Linked DNA regions of Caenorhabditis elegans. The protein of the gene in region 1 purifies or fractionates together with the protein of each later gene. This does not show direct contact. Each region holds a gene or a part of one and is shown on either strand. Other genes may lie near its edges. The genes, in order: imb-1 and npp-13.

What was found.
Region 2: the proteins of imb-1 (region 1) and npp-13 purify together in Caenorhabditis elegans (affinity purification with western blotting, with the first as the bait; one study listed by BioGRID). This does not show direct contact.

What each region holds. Positions count from the first base shown.
Region 1 is NC_003279.8:4,920,170-4,928,031, reverse strand, and holds imb-1 (Importin N-terminal domain-containing protein), read left to right. Parts: upstream 1-1,798; 5' UTR 1,799-1,836; coding exon 1,837-1,894; intron 1,895-1,946; coding exon 1,947-2,142; intron 2,143-2,189; coding exon 2,190-2,325; intron 2,326-2,373; coding exon 2,374-2,637; intron 2,638-2,879; coding exon 2,880-3,140; intron 3,141-3,372; coding exon 3,373-3,891; intron 3,892-3,942; coding exon 3,943-4,200; intron 4,201-4,248; coding exon 4,249-4,498; intron 4,499-4,550; coding exon 4,551-4,741; intron 4,742-4,799; coding exon 4,800-4,949; intron 4,950-4,995; coding exon 4,996-5,091; intron 5,092-5,719; coding exon 5,720-5,902; intron 5,903-5,947; coding exon 5,948-6,034; intron 6,035-6,587; coding exon 6,588-6,629; 3' UTR 6,630-7,273; downstream 7,274-7,862. Other genes in the region: mfsd-13.1 (Major Facilitator Superfamily Domain containing homolog), read right to left, coding at 102-649, 697-1,014, 1,067-1,198, 1,243-1,299; F21F3.7 (Transmembrane protein 230), read right to left, coding at 7,667-7,812.
Region 2 is NC_003279.8:2,095,642-2,100,598, reverse strand, and holds the start of npp-13 (Nuclear pore protein), read right to left. Parts: upstream 3,254-4,957; 5' UTR 3,253-3,253; coding exon 3,154-3,252; intron 3,100-3,153; coding exon 2,860-3,099; intron 2,010-2,859; coding exon 1,893-2,009; intron 1-1,892.

The DNA.
Region 1 (7,862 bases):
TCACATTTAAAACGAGTTCACAGTCCTCTAAAGTAGTAAAAATGCTAATTTTTAACGACCAATTTCAAAGGTACTATTTCAATTTTCAGATTAAAACCTACCAATCGATAAGCATGAAGAGCATAATGCTATATGGATTTCCGGATGCAACGATCATAAATCCGGATAAAAACGAGACAATATAACTAACAGAAATCACCCGAATCGCGCCAGCATTTGCAATTAGCTTTTCATTAACAATTAGAATAATTTGTGGTCCAAGTGTGAGTAGCATAAAGAATAAACTCAATCGAATCGATCCACTCGGTAGAATATCCTGAGGAATTAGGATTTCTGTAATAATTGATGCAAAATTCATATGAGCAATACTTCTTGCTGTATGGAAAAAATTGGTGATCACTATGGCGAGAAACTGTCGTTGTGAGAGAATTTGCTTGGTAAGATGAATAGAATTTTGAACATTTTCGTGGAATGTTAGTTGATGTTCCTTTTCTTTTTCTTGTTCTTTTTCAATTAAAACTTCTCGATCTCCTTGTTCCTTATCCTCTTGACGATTGTTTGTGATTTTTCCAAAGTGACCTCCCCACCAAAGACAAATGAAAGAAAGTATTGCGACGAAAAAGCAGATTCCTTGGAAAATCGGAAAATTCTGAAATTAGCGAACATTTCTTAAATCTAAATTTTAAATAATAATACCTTTAAACTGTTGCTCAGCTTTTCCGTGACAGCAATCGAAAATACCGATAAAAGAATTGCGATTTGAGAATATTTCAGTGCTTTTACTCGGATCAATGACTGATTTTGTGTGGTGTCAGCGAATAGAGCTCCCCATGCAACACTGATTGCACTGAAGAATGCATCGTAAAGGAATAATGAGAGAACAAGGTGCAATCCTTCCAAATCTGAACCTTCTGTATTCCATGGGATCCACATGAACACAAATGAGCCAACAAGGAAAGGAGATAAAGTTTTGATCACTAATAAGCGATTTGTGAGCCATGATCCACGAATTTCCTGAAAACAAAATATTAAATAATCATTTCTAGCTTACAAATATAACAAATACCTGCAAATATCCAAAAAGTGGATCATTTATTGCATTCCAGACCATAAACAAAGTTTGCGCAATGTTGAACCATTTTGTGTTGACGTGAAACTGATTAATGTATACTTTAACATAATAAAACATGAAGAGCGTCTGAAAATTGAGCTTTTTGAGAATTTAGGATACGAAACTCTCACCTGCAGAACACTTAATCCGAACTGTGAGAGTCCGATTGATAATAGGGAACTTCTCATTATTAAATTCGTATATTTCTTTCTTCAAACTATTAATTTTACAGGAATTTGAACAGATTTCCATGAAAAAACAGCAAAATACAGCAAAAAAAATGAAGAAAAATGAAATAATGCATGTACGCTCCATTGAAAATCTGTTATGGAAGAGAAATACAACGAATTTGAAAATGAGTGTCTCGGCGCGACAATGCTCCTATAACAGTCGTTTTCTCTGCGTCTCTTCATGAAATTTTCGGCGCAATTTACTTTTTCGAATTTTTGCACTTCTAAATCTGTTGAAATTTCTAAAATTTCCATCAAAAACGTAAATTTTCTTATTTAAAAAAATTTTAATAGGTTCCCGCTAAACTTTTTTACGAAACTTTATCAATTTCACTCTTTATCATCGGTAAAATTATCAAAAAAGCCCGAAAAACTATTTTCAAAATTTTAAATTGATTAGTATTTCTCTCGAGAGTGTATTTCCTCACTTAATCATCCTCAAATACATATTTTTCAGTAACTACGCTTACTCGGCTTCCGAAGTTTCTGAAGACAATGGCAGAACAAGCGGCAGAACAGATGCTGACGGTTTTGGAGAAAACCGTCTCACAAAGTAAGTTTAATTAAATAAGTAGATTTCAAATATTATAAAAATATATTTTCAGATCAAAATGATCAGAAACAGGCGATGGACTATATTGCGGCGGCATGTCAACAAGATTTTCCCGTTTTCGTTCAGTGTCTCAGTATGATACTTCGCACACAGCAATGTCAGTCATTTGTTCGTCAAGCCGCCGGTTTGCAGTTGAAAAACGTTCTATGTGCCAAAGAAACTGAAACCAAAAATGTGTATCTGCAAAGGTAAAACATTTTTTTAATAGAAAAAGTTTATAAAAATTGATTTTCAGATGGCTACAATTGACGGCTGAAGTCAGAGAACAGGTAAAGCAGAATGTGACCGGAACATTGGGAACTGAACCATCAAGACCATCAATTGCAGCTCAATGCGTTGCAGCAATCGCATGTGCAGAGCTTCCACAAAATGTAAGTATATATTGTACAGGACTTTATAAAAAAAATCATATTTTTTAGCTATGGCCCAATGTGATCAACCTGCTAAAGAGCAACGTGACAGAGTCACAAAGCGGAGAAATGCTGAAAGAATCTTCACTTGAAACTCTTGGATACATTTGTCAAGACATTGATCCACGAGTTTTGGAGACAAAAGCCAATGACGTCCTAACAGCAATTATTCACGGAATGCGTCCCGAGGAATCATCCGCCAACGTTCGATTCGCGGCCACCAATGCTTTATTGAATTCGCTAGAGTTCACAAACACGAACTTTAGCAATGAGGTGAGAAAAAAAGTGTTTAACCTCAAAGTGTGTTCAAATGAACGAATTTCGCAAAGATACTTCTCAAAAATGTTTCGGCAATTTGTTATGGCGATTAAAAAATCTTCAAAAGAACATAAATTTTTTTTGGTAAATTTTTTGAGAGTTATCATTATGAAATTTGATCGTTTTAGGCCAGTTAGTCTATTTCAGCAAATTGCCCACAAACTATACTTTCTCTTCAATGATTATTTCAAATTCAGGCCGAGAGAAACATCATCATGCAAGTTGTTTGTGAATCGACGAGCAGCAGTGATCAACGAGTAAAAGTAGCTGCTCTCCAGTGTCTTGTTCGGATCATGCAGCTGTACTATGAACATATGCTTTCATATATGGGCAGTGCACTCTTCCAAATCACTCTCTCTGCAATGAAATCCCAGGAGCCTGAAGTGGCAATGCAAGGAATGGAATTCTGGTCAACTGTCGCTGAGGAAGAATTTGACTTGTACATGACCTATGAGGATGTAAGAAATACGCGTTTTGATCGGAATGCTGCCATTTTTATTTAAAATTAGTGTCAATAAATAGAAAATCACTTGAATTATCTAAAAATTACTTTTTTTCTGTTGATTTTCAGATAATTCAAGAGATTTCCTATATTCTGACATTAATTTTTAATAAGAAATGTTGAAAGCAATTCCGTAGAATTGCCGAAAATAATTGGTTGTGGTTGACTCTAATTCTCCAAAATTCCAGGAAGTTGAAAGAGGAGCTCCAAATCCAAAATGTGCATCGCTACGATTCATGGAACAAGCTGCTTCACATGTGTGCCCGGTTCTTCTTGAAGCAATGGCTCACCACGACGATGGAGACGATGATGATGACTGGACACCAGCAAAAGCTGCCGGTGTATGCTTGATGCTTGCTGCTCAATGTGTACGGGATGATATTGTCAATCACGTGATTCCATTCTTCAAACACTTCCAAAATCCTGATTGGAAATACAAGGAAGCAGCTATCATGGCATTCGGATCTATTCTTGATGGTCCTGATCCAAAGAAGCTTCTTCCGATGGCACAGGAAGCTCTTCCAGCTATTGTTGCAGCCATGTGTGATAAGAATGTCAATGTACGTGATACTGCTGCATGGTCTCTTGGAAGAGTTATTGATACGTGCTCGGAGCTTGCAAACAACGCGGAACTTCTTCAATCTGTTCTTCCGGTTCTTTCCAATGGTCTTCATCAAGAACCAAGAGTTGCTAACAATGTTTGCTGGGTATCGTTTTTTATTAATTTCCCTAATATTGTTATTTTTTAATAATTTCAGGCCCTCGTTTCCCTTGTCAAAGCTTGCTATGAGTCAGCCGTCGCAAATGGAACAGATGGAAGTGGACAACCGGACACATTTGCTCTTTCCTCAGTATTCGATCCAATGGTTGGAGAGCTTATCAAGATTACCGACAGAGTAGATGGAAATCAATCGAATCTTCGAATCACTGCATACGAGGCTCTGATGGAACTGATCAAGCATTCACCGAAGGACTGTTACTCAGCTGTTCGAAATACAACTGTAGTCATATTGAAGGCAACAAAAGTGTTAATCACGAGCGAGAAAAAATGATTTTAATTTCAGAAATTGGAAAGCCTGCTGCAAATGGAGTCTCAGGCGACCAGTGAAGCTGACAAGGCTCAAGTTCGGGATCTTCAAGCAATGCTGTGTGCCACATTACAATCCGTCACTCGCAAAATGCAGCCAGCCGACATTCCAGCCGTTGGAGAGCACATTATGAACGGACTTTATCAAATTATGAACAGAGCTGCAGCGACAAGAAGTAATGCGGTCATGGAAGAAGCTTTGTTGGCTGTTGCTTGCTTGGCAGAACGTAAGATTTTTTTCCGATTTTCTGAAGCATATTTGAACTGGAATTCTTTCAGATCTAGGAAAAGGATTCCTCAGTTACATGAACGTGCTGAAACCATATTTGCTAGAAGGACTTTCGAATACAGATGAGACACAAGTATGTGCCGCCGCCGTTGGACTTGTCACCGACCTCAGTCGTGCTCTTGAAGCCGAAATCATGCCATTCATGGATGAATTGATTCAAAAGTTGATTCTGTGTCTTCAGGTAAGATTCGAGAAATGAGAAAACTCAGCTCGCATAAAATTATAATTTGATTTTTCAGTCACCACGGTTAGATAGAAACGTGAAAGTTGTGATTATTGGAACATTTGCTGACATTGCAATGGCTATCGAAGCACATTTCGAACGATATGTCGGCAGTGTTGTACCGATTCTCAACAATGCTCAAAATGCTGCAGTTGTCACTGATCCGGTAAAAAATGAAAAACATTATTCGAATTTATAATTAATTTTTCCAGAACGATGATGATCAAGTTGATTATGTGGATAGATTAAGAGAAGCTTGCCTCAATTCATATACTGGAATTATTCAAGGATTGAAGGCAATTCCTGACGTATGTGATTAGGCAAACGACGCATTTGAAAAATGTTATATGCAAAAACAGTGTATTTTTGAAAATGTTCAATTTTTAAAATTGGAAAATTTAATATTCTTTCAATTTTTCTCATAGAATTTTCTCGCGTTTTTTTTTCGTAAAATTTGAAAAGTCAAATTTCAAATCAAACTTATTCTATAAATTCTCCCAAAATTGTCATGAAAAAAATAACTGAAAAAACCACCAAAATTTTGAAAATACACAATTTCCGAAAAAACCGGAAAATCGAAAAATGTTCAAAAAATTAACCATGAAATTCAATTTTGATCAAATTTTGTTTATGTTGATTAAAAAAGTTTGAAAAAAATTTCTTCCCATAATGAGGAAAAATAACCCGAATTTCAAGATTTTTTTTGTTGAAATATCGGAAAACGAAAAATTCAAAAATTTCCGTTTTTCGATTTTTTTAAAATTTTAATTTTTTTTAGTTAAAAAATTGCAATATTAAACTTATTCTATACATTTTTTTAATAATAAAAAGCGAGAAAATTCTATGAAAAAAACTAAACAAATTAAAAAAAAATACACAGTTGTTTTTGCTTATAATTTTTTGACAAACCGGAAATTTTAATTTTAATGATTTCAGACGACCGCTGCCCGAAACATGATCAATGTATTCGTCGAGCCGATAGTTCAACTGATTACACGGATTTCATCAATGGAACCAGTTCCACCATCAGAAGCACTTATCGCTACTACAGCTGGTATCATTGGTGATCTTGTTCAGTTGTATGAGGGTGATATTATTCGATTCTTCCTAACTGATAATGTTCGTTTTTATTATTATTATTCAAATCTGAAAATTATTTTCCAGGTGACACAAATGCTGCAAAAGGGTAGAAAGTCAAAGGTGTCAAAGACGAAATCGATGGCCAATTGGGCGACCAAAGAAATTAAAAAGGTAACATTGAAAAATCGAAATTCATTTTTTTTTTAGAAAACAAGAAAATAAACCATAATGACCAAATATAACAACAAAAATTAAAAAAAAATCTACATGAATTTCTTAAAATATTGCAACAAAAAAAACTACTAAATGTTTTTTCCTGGTTAAATTTATCGGGTTTTTTCGAATTTTTGATTTTAAACACCTGTTGCCAATTTTGAGACATTTTTTCACAAAAAAGTTATAAGTTGTATGCTAGTTTTGAAGATTCTGCAATTTTTGTGGGTCATCAAGTTTTAAAGACAAAATCTCCGAAAAAAAAAACTAACAAAAGTTGCTAATTCAAATTTAATTCAGTCGTTCCTTTTATTTTTTTGCAAAAATTTTTTTAAACATTATTTTAAGAAATTAGAAAAAATCCAAAAATTTTTTTTAAACGGTTATATTCGGTCATTACTGTCAATTTTCTTTCATTTAAAGCAAAATTCCAAAACAAATATTCTCTAAGCTATAAATACTTACTTTTTTCCTTTTTCATCAACATTTCTAACGAATAAACTAGTTGCAGCATACGAACAACGGAGCAGCTACGTTCAATTTTAATCGTTAAGCAACACAAAACTTTCAATCTCAGTTCACTTTTTTTTCCAATTTTTCTTATTTTCTTCCTCCACCCCCCACATTTCTCTTTCATTTCCCCACATCTCTTCTTACAGGTCATATGCTCTCTGTTTCTCTCTCTTTGTCTCTCCCGTTTCCTTTTCTCATTCATTGCTCCGTTTTTTCCATCTTCCAAGTTTCCAGCTTCATCTCCTCCCCGGTATTTTTATTTTATTTTTTTATCTCTGACGAATTAGAATGTAATTTCCCCCACTTTTATTTTCGTTTCCTAGATTGTTTGCTTTATATTTTTGTGTGTGTGACCCCTCATTATTCAAATTTTTCTATTATGATTCTGATTTTTAGCAGCAATTATCTTCATCATTTTCTGGTTGTTTTTTGTCGGTCTTTATCGATTATCGTTTTTGCCCAAATTTGAAACTTCTAACACGGTATCTGACGGCCCTATACGTTATCATTTTGTTTCCCCTATTTATTCATCACTATTTTTTTTCTCAAAGTTTTACCGGCTAACACTATTAGTTTTTTTTTGTAAATCTATGTTTTCTATCCGAAGGGCTGTCAGTTACCAGTTGTCATCCCGCCTATTTCAATCTCAAGACACATCAATTGCACTAAATGATTCTCTTGGAATATTTTGGAATATATTTTTTTTTTAACGAAAAAAAAATTAATGACAAGTAGGAAAAAATAAATACATAGAAGTAAATGATAAATGATGGGGTAGTAAGGTAGTAGTAGAAACTATGTACATAGAGGGAAGGTGGTGGCAATTTGAAAAGCTCGGAAAAAAATGCAGGGGATTTGAATCAATTTTGATTAGAGGAAAAAGAAACCGGTGGAGGAATCTTGGAAATCATCGACAATAATGAAGAAAAGTGAAGATTAGATGAGAATTGAAGGCTAAGAAATCTCTCGAATGACCATGTTTTCGGGGGTTTTGAAATGAGGAGACCACCTCAATTCTGATTTTTTGTGTGTGTTTGACTAGATTACAAAACGTGGATTCAGAATAAATGGATGGGGCTATCGATTGAAAGTGGGCAATTTGTCGAATGAGTAACCAGGCCGGCCGCATAATGTACACGTCACGTAGTACACGTGGTAGAAGCCCGGAATAAAGCAAACGAGGCCGGCGAAGAAGAATACCCAGTGTTGCATTCCGGAATGAGCTGAAAATGGTGAGGATTTGGATGAATGGGTTACTGTAGAGCTATCAAAG
Region 2 (4,957 bases), 2.8 Mb from region 1:
TTTTTTTTTCGAGTTTTCCCACAGGGTTCTGGACTTCCTCATAGAATTTTTCGCGCTCCATTAACAATCGCCTTGGGAAAGTCGTGTACTCCACACGGACAAATACATTTCGTTTTACAACGAGCCGCGACGCGACACGCAACGCACCGTAAATCTACGCCAGATATGGCCTGACCTAGTTCGGCAAAAACTCTTCCATTTCAATATATGAGGGAAGCTAGAATTCCGTGTTTCGGCATAAAAATCATTATAAACGAGCACGGAACTCTGGTTCCGCTCATAAATTGAAATGGAAGAGTTTTTGCCGAACTAGGCCAGGTCATATCTGGGGGTAGATTTACGGTGCGTTGCGTGTCGCGTCGCGGCTCGATTTTTGTTGTAAAACTAAATGTATTTGTCCGTGTGGAGTACACGACTTTCCCAAGGCGATTGTCAATGGAGCGCGAAAAATTCTATGAGGAAGGCCAGAACCCCCTGTTTTCCATGGTCTCCCGGAGTGTTCATAATTATTCGAGCACGACACCTCACGAACTCCAGAATTCGCGGGAATTCGATTCGCGCGGGGACAGCAGTTTTTGGCTATTTCCGGCTTCTATAGAAATTCTTTTTTGAATTTTTTGATTTATAATATTGTTGAGAAGCATCATACGAATTGAAAATGTGTAAAATTATGAAATTTGACCGAAAACTGAAGGTTTTACTTCAAAATCTATCAGAACCGTCAGTTTTTCGATTTCGTAGTCGTAAAATATGTCATTTTGTAGAGAGAAAAGAGTATTTTACAAAAATCGACGTTTGAAAATTTAAAATTGTTTTTATTAAAAACTGAAAATCTTTTATAAAAAAAAACGATTTTAAAGTAAAATTGTTGATTTTTTGAATATTTTTATATTAGAAATTAAAGGTGGAGTACCGAAATTTGAGACTTTGCTTTTTTAGACCTAAAATGTTCCAAAACTACCGAATTTCGTGGTGAGGCGTTCTGAAAATTTCTCAACAAAAAAGTTATGTCCGTTCAAAGTTTTGGAAAAAATGGTAGATTTTTAGCTAAAATCTCAAATATTAGCAGCTTTTCAGTGTTGCAGCGGTTGGAACTTAATTTTATTTGATTAGCACTCTTTAATACATATTATGGTAGTTTATTACGCGTTTATTCGTTGATTTAAGCCCATTTTCGGTCGATGGGTGCACAAATATAATACAATTTTGTGCACCCATCAACCCAAAATGGGCTCAAATCAACGAAAAAACGCGTAATAAACTACCATAATATGTATTAAAGAGTGCTAGTCAAATAAAAATTGAGTACCAACCGATGCAGCACTGAAAAGCTGACAAATTTGAGATTTTAGCTGAAAATAGACCATTTCTTCCAAAACTTTGAGCGGTCGTAACTTTTTTTTGTTGAGAAATTTTCAGAACGTCTCATTACGAAATTTGGTAGTTTTGGAACATTTTGGGTCCAAAAAAGCAAAGTCTAAATTTTTGGTGCTCCACCTTTAATTTAATATAAAAATACTCAAAAAAACAACAATTTTACGTTAAAATCTTATTTTTTCTAGACTTTTCAGTTTTTAATAAAAACAATTTTCAATTTTAAATTTTCAAACGTGGATTTTTGTGAAACAGACTTTTATCTACAAAATTAAATATTTTACGACTTTGAAATCAAAAAACTGACGGTTCTGATACATTTTAAAGAAAGCCTTCTGTAAAACCGTCAGTTTTTGGTCAAATTTCATAATTTTAAACATTTTCAATTCGGAAAAATGCTTCTCAACAACATTATAAATCAAAAAAATAGAAAATAATATCTATAGAAGTGCGCGCGAAACGAATTCCCTCGAATTCTGGAGTTCGTGAGGTGTGCCGCGCAAGGGATTTTAACGAACATCTCGTTCCATAGCCTGTGCTGGATTCATGGGAACTGCGGCAGGTCTCGAAAGAAGCATGTGGTTGAAGAATGCTCGATCCGTCTCCACTTTAACACGAGAAATGTCCTCGTCGAGCTGGAAAATTTAAAGATTAAAACGTTGTTTTCATGATAAATTATTAATTAATCACGGCCACCTGGAGTGTTCATAATTATTAGAGCGCGCTCGCGCGGCACCTCACGAACTCCAGAATTCGCGGGAACACGTTCCGCGGGAACAGCAGTTTTTTTTATTTTTGACTTCTATAGGAAATATCTTTGATTTTTTGTTTTATAATATTCTTGAGAAGCATCATCCGAATTGAAAATGTGTAAAATTATAAAATTTGGCCGAAAACTGAAAGTTTTACAGAAGGAAGCCACTACAGTTTTTAAAAAAATGTATCAGGACCAGTTTTGCGATTTATGTGTCGTAAAATATGTCATTTTGTAGAGAATTAAAAGTTTCATAAGAATTTTTGTTTGAAAATTTAAAATTGTTTTTATTGAAAACTTAAAAATTGAAGAAATAAGATTTTAACGTAAAATTGTTGATTTTTTGAATATTTTTTTATTAGAAATTAACGAATTAAAATTTCAAACGAAAATTTTTATGAAACTTTTAATTCTCTACAAAATGACATATTTTACGACGCATAAATCGCAAAACTGGCGATCCTGATACATTTTTTCAAAAACTATAGTGGCTTTCTTCTGTAAAACTTCCAGTTTTCGGCCAATTTCATAATTTTACACATTTTCAATTCGGATGATGTTTCTCAAGAATATTATAAAACAAAAAATCAAAAATATTTCCTATAGAAGCCAAAAATAACAAAAAACTGCTGTTCCCGCGGAACGAACTCCCGCAAATTCTGGAGTTCGTGAGGTGCCACGCGAGCTCGCTCCAATAATTATGAACACTCAAGGAGGCCGTGATTAAGTACTTCTTCCTCGTCAATATCATCCATTACAGCTTCAGGCACGTCCACGACACCTTCATCAGTGAGAGTATCCTCGGCGGTGTGACTTTTCGGCTGGCGGCTCGGAAGTTCGATGCCACGCTCCCCAAACATCATCTGCTTCTGAACTGAGTGCGTCTGACGTGTCCAGTCGCCTTCTGAACCGCCTAAAATACCGCAAAGCTCCTGCTCGACGCCATTTCGGACTGTGAATTGCTGCGAGTTCTGGAAAAAGGGAATTTTTCGGTGTTTTTAACATTTTAAACATTATTTACAAACCTCTTGGCCGACACGGTTGGTTTGGAAAATCGGATTAGCAAGCAATTGTGCGAATCCTTGATGATCAACTCTTCCGAGGATCTCCGTAAACTGTAGCATCCTGAATTGAATTAAAAATTGAGAAAATTACTGGTTTAGGTTTTTTCAAGGATTTACAACATTAACCAGTTTACATTAACCACATTTTCCAGTTTAAACCCTGAAAAATATGAAAATAATCGAAAAATATCGTTAAAAAACGTTTTAAAAACCAAATAATTCTCGTTTTTCGCGGCAAAACGAAAATTAATTTTGAAAAAATCGGTGCAACGACACTCCGAAATCCCGCATGAATCCTAGGCCAGTATTTCGAGTTCTAGGCCACCAGCTTCTTGGCACATTGCCAAGAGCTGAATTTAAATTAATTTCCGCTGGAATTGAATCGAATTCAGTACAAATTGAGTGGGAAAATGAAAAACTTACAAAAAAATTGAAAAAAAAAACATTTTCGATGAAAATGTTTCAAGAAAATTGAGTATTATTTTTAAAGAAAAACGAAAAAAAAGACATAAATTCGGGAGCGTGTCGTAGCATCCACATTATCGACTTTTCCGGTTAGAAGTACACCGCCAGATGGTAGATCGGTCTCAGGAACTCATGGAGCAGATAATAAATCACAAATTGGATGATTTGAACACTAAAAAACATTAAATTTCTTTTAAAAAAATGAATTATTTAGTGACAGTTGTGTCGAGAGCTTTTTTAATCAGTAAATGTTTTACTGGTCTATGGAAAATAATTATAAGTAAAAATTACTGGAACACAGAATTCAGAGAGCCCGTATTGCGCAACATATTTGGCGCGCAAAATATCTCGCAGCGAAAACTACAGTAATTCTTTAAATTCTTTAAATTACTGTAGTTTTCGCTACGAGATATTAATAATTTTGCGCGTCAAATTTGTTGCGCAATACGCATTCTCTGAATTTTGTGTTCCCGTGATAATTCAACAATTTTTCAGTGTAAAACAAATCAGGGATTTCTTTTGAAAGTTTCGGGTTTTTTTTCCACCACGCGGGGTACTGTGGCACCGGTTTCAGCTGTGTCAATGGGGAAATGTGTGAAATTGAAGCATTCCCAGGCATGATGGGGGTCATTTTACAGCTGAAAATCGAGAAATTCGAATTTAACGACAATTTAAAGAACATTTTTGAAATGAAAAAATTTCCAAAAAAATTGTTTTTTTTTCCCCAATTTCACTTTTTTCTCTAAATTACTCTAAAATTCACATTCTCCTCATTCTCAGCTTCAAAATGACTCCCATCTTGCCCATTTTCTGCCAAATTTCAAATTTTCGGGTCCCACCACGCAGGGTACTGTAGCACCGGTTTCAGATGTGTCAGTAACCTAAATAGAGGGTTCTTAGGCATGATGGGGACTCATAATTTGAAATGGAAGAGTTTTTGCCGAACTAGGCCATTTTGGTTCGGCCATATCTGGAGTAGATTTACGGCGCGTCGCGGCTCGGTTTTAGTTGTAAAACTAAATGTATTTGTCCGCGTGGAGTACACGACTTTCCCAGTCCGGCGGGCGATTGTCAATGGAGCGCGAAAAATTCAACGAGGAAGGCCAGAACCCCGTGTAATTTTACATTAAATTTCGCTTTTGTTGATTAGAAAAACAAGAAAATATATTCATAATTTTCTCTAAAAACAAAAAAAACCAATTTTTATAAAAATTTCGTAAAAACGGGACACTTAATTAGAGTACTACGGGGTTATTGCCTTCCTCATTGAATTTTTCGCGCTCCATTGACAATCGCCTGC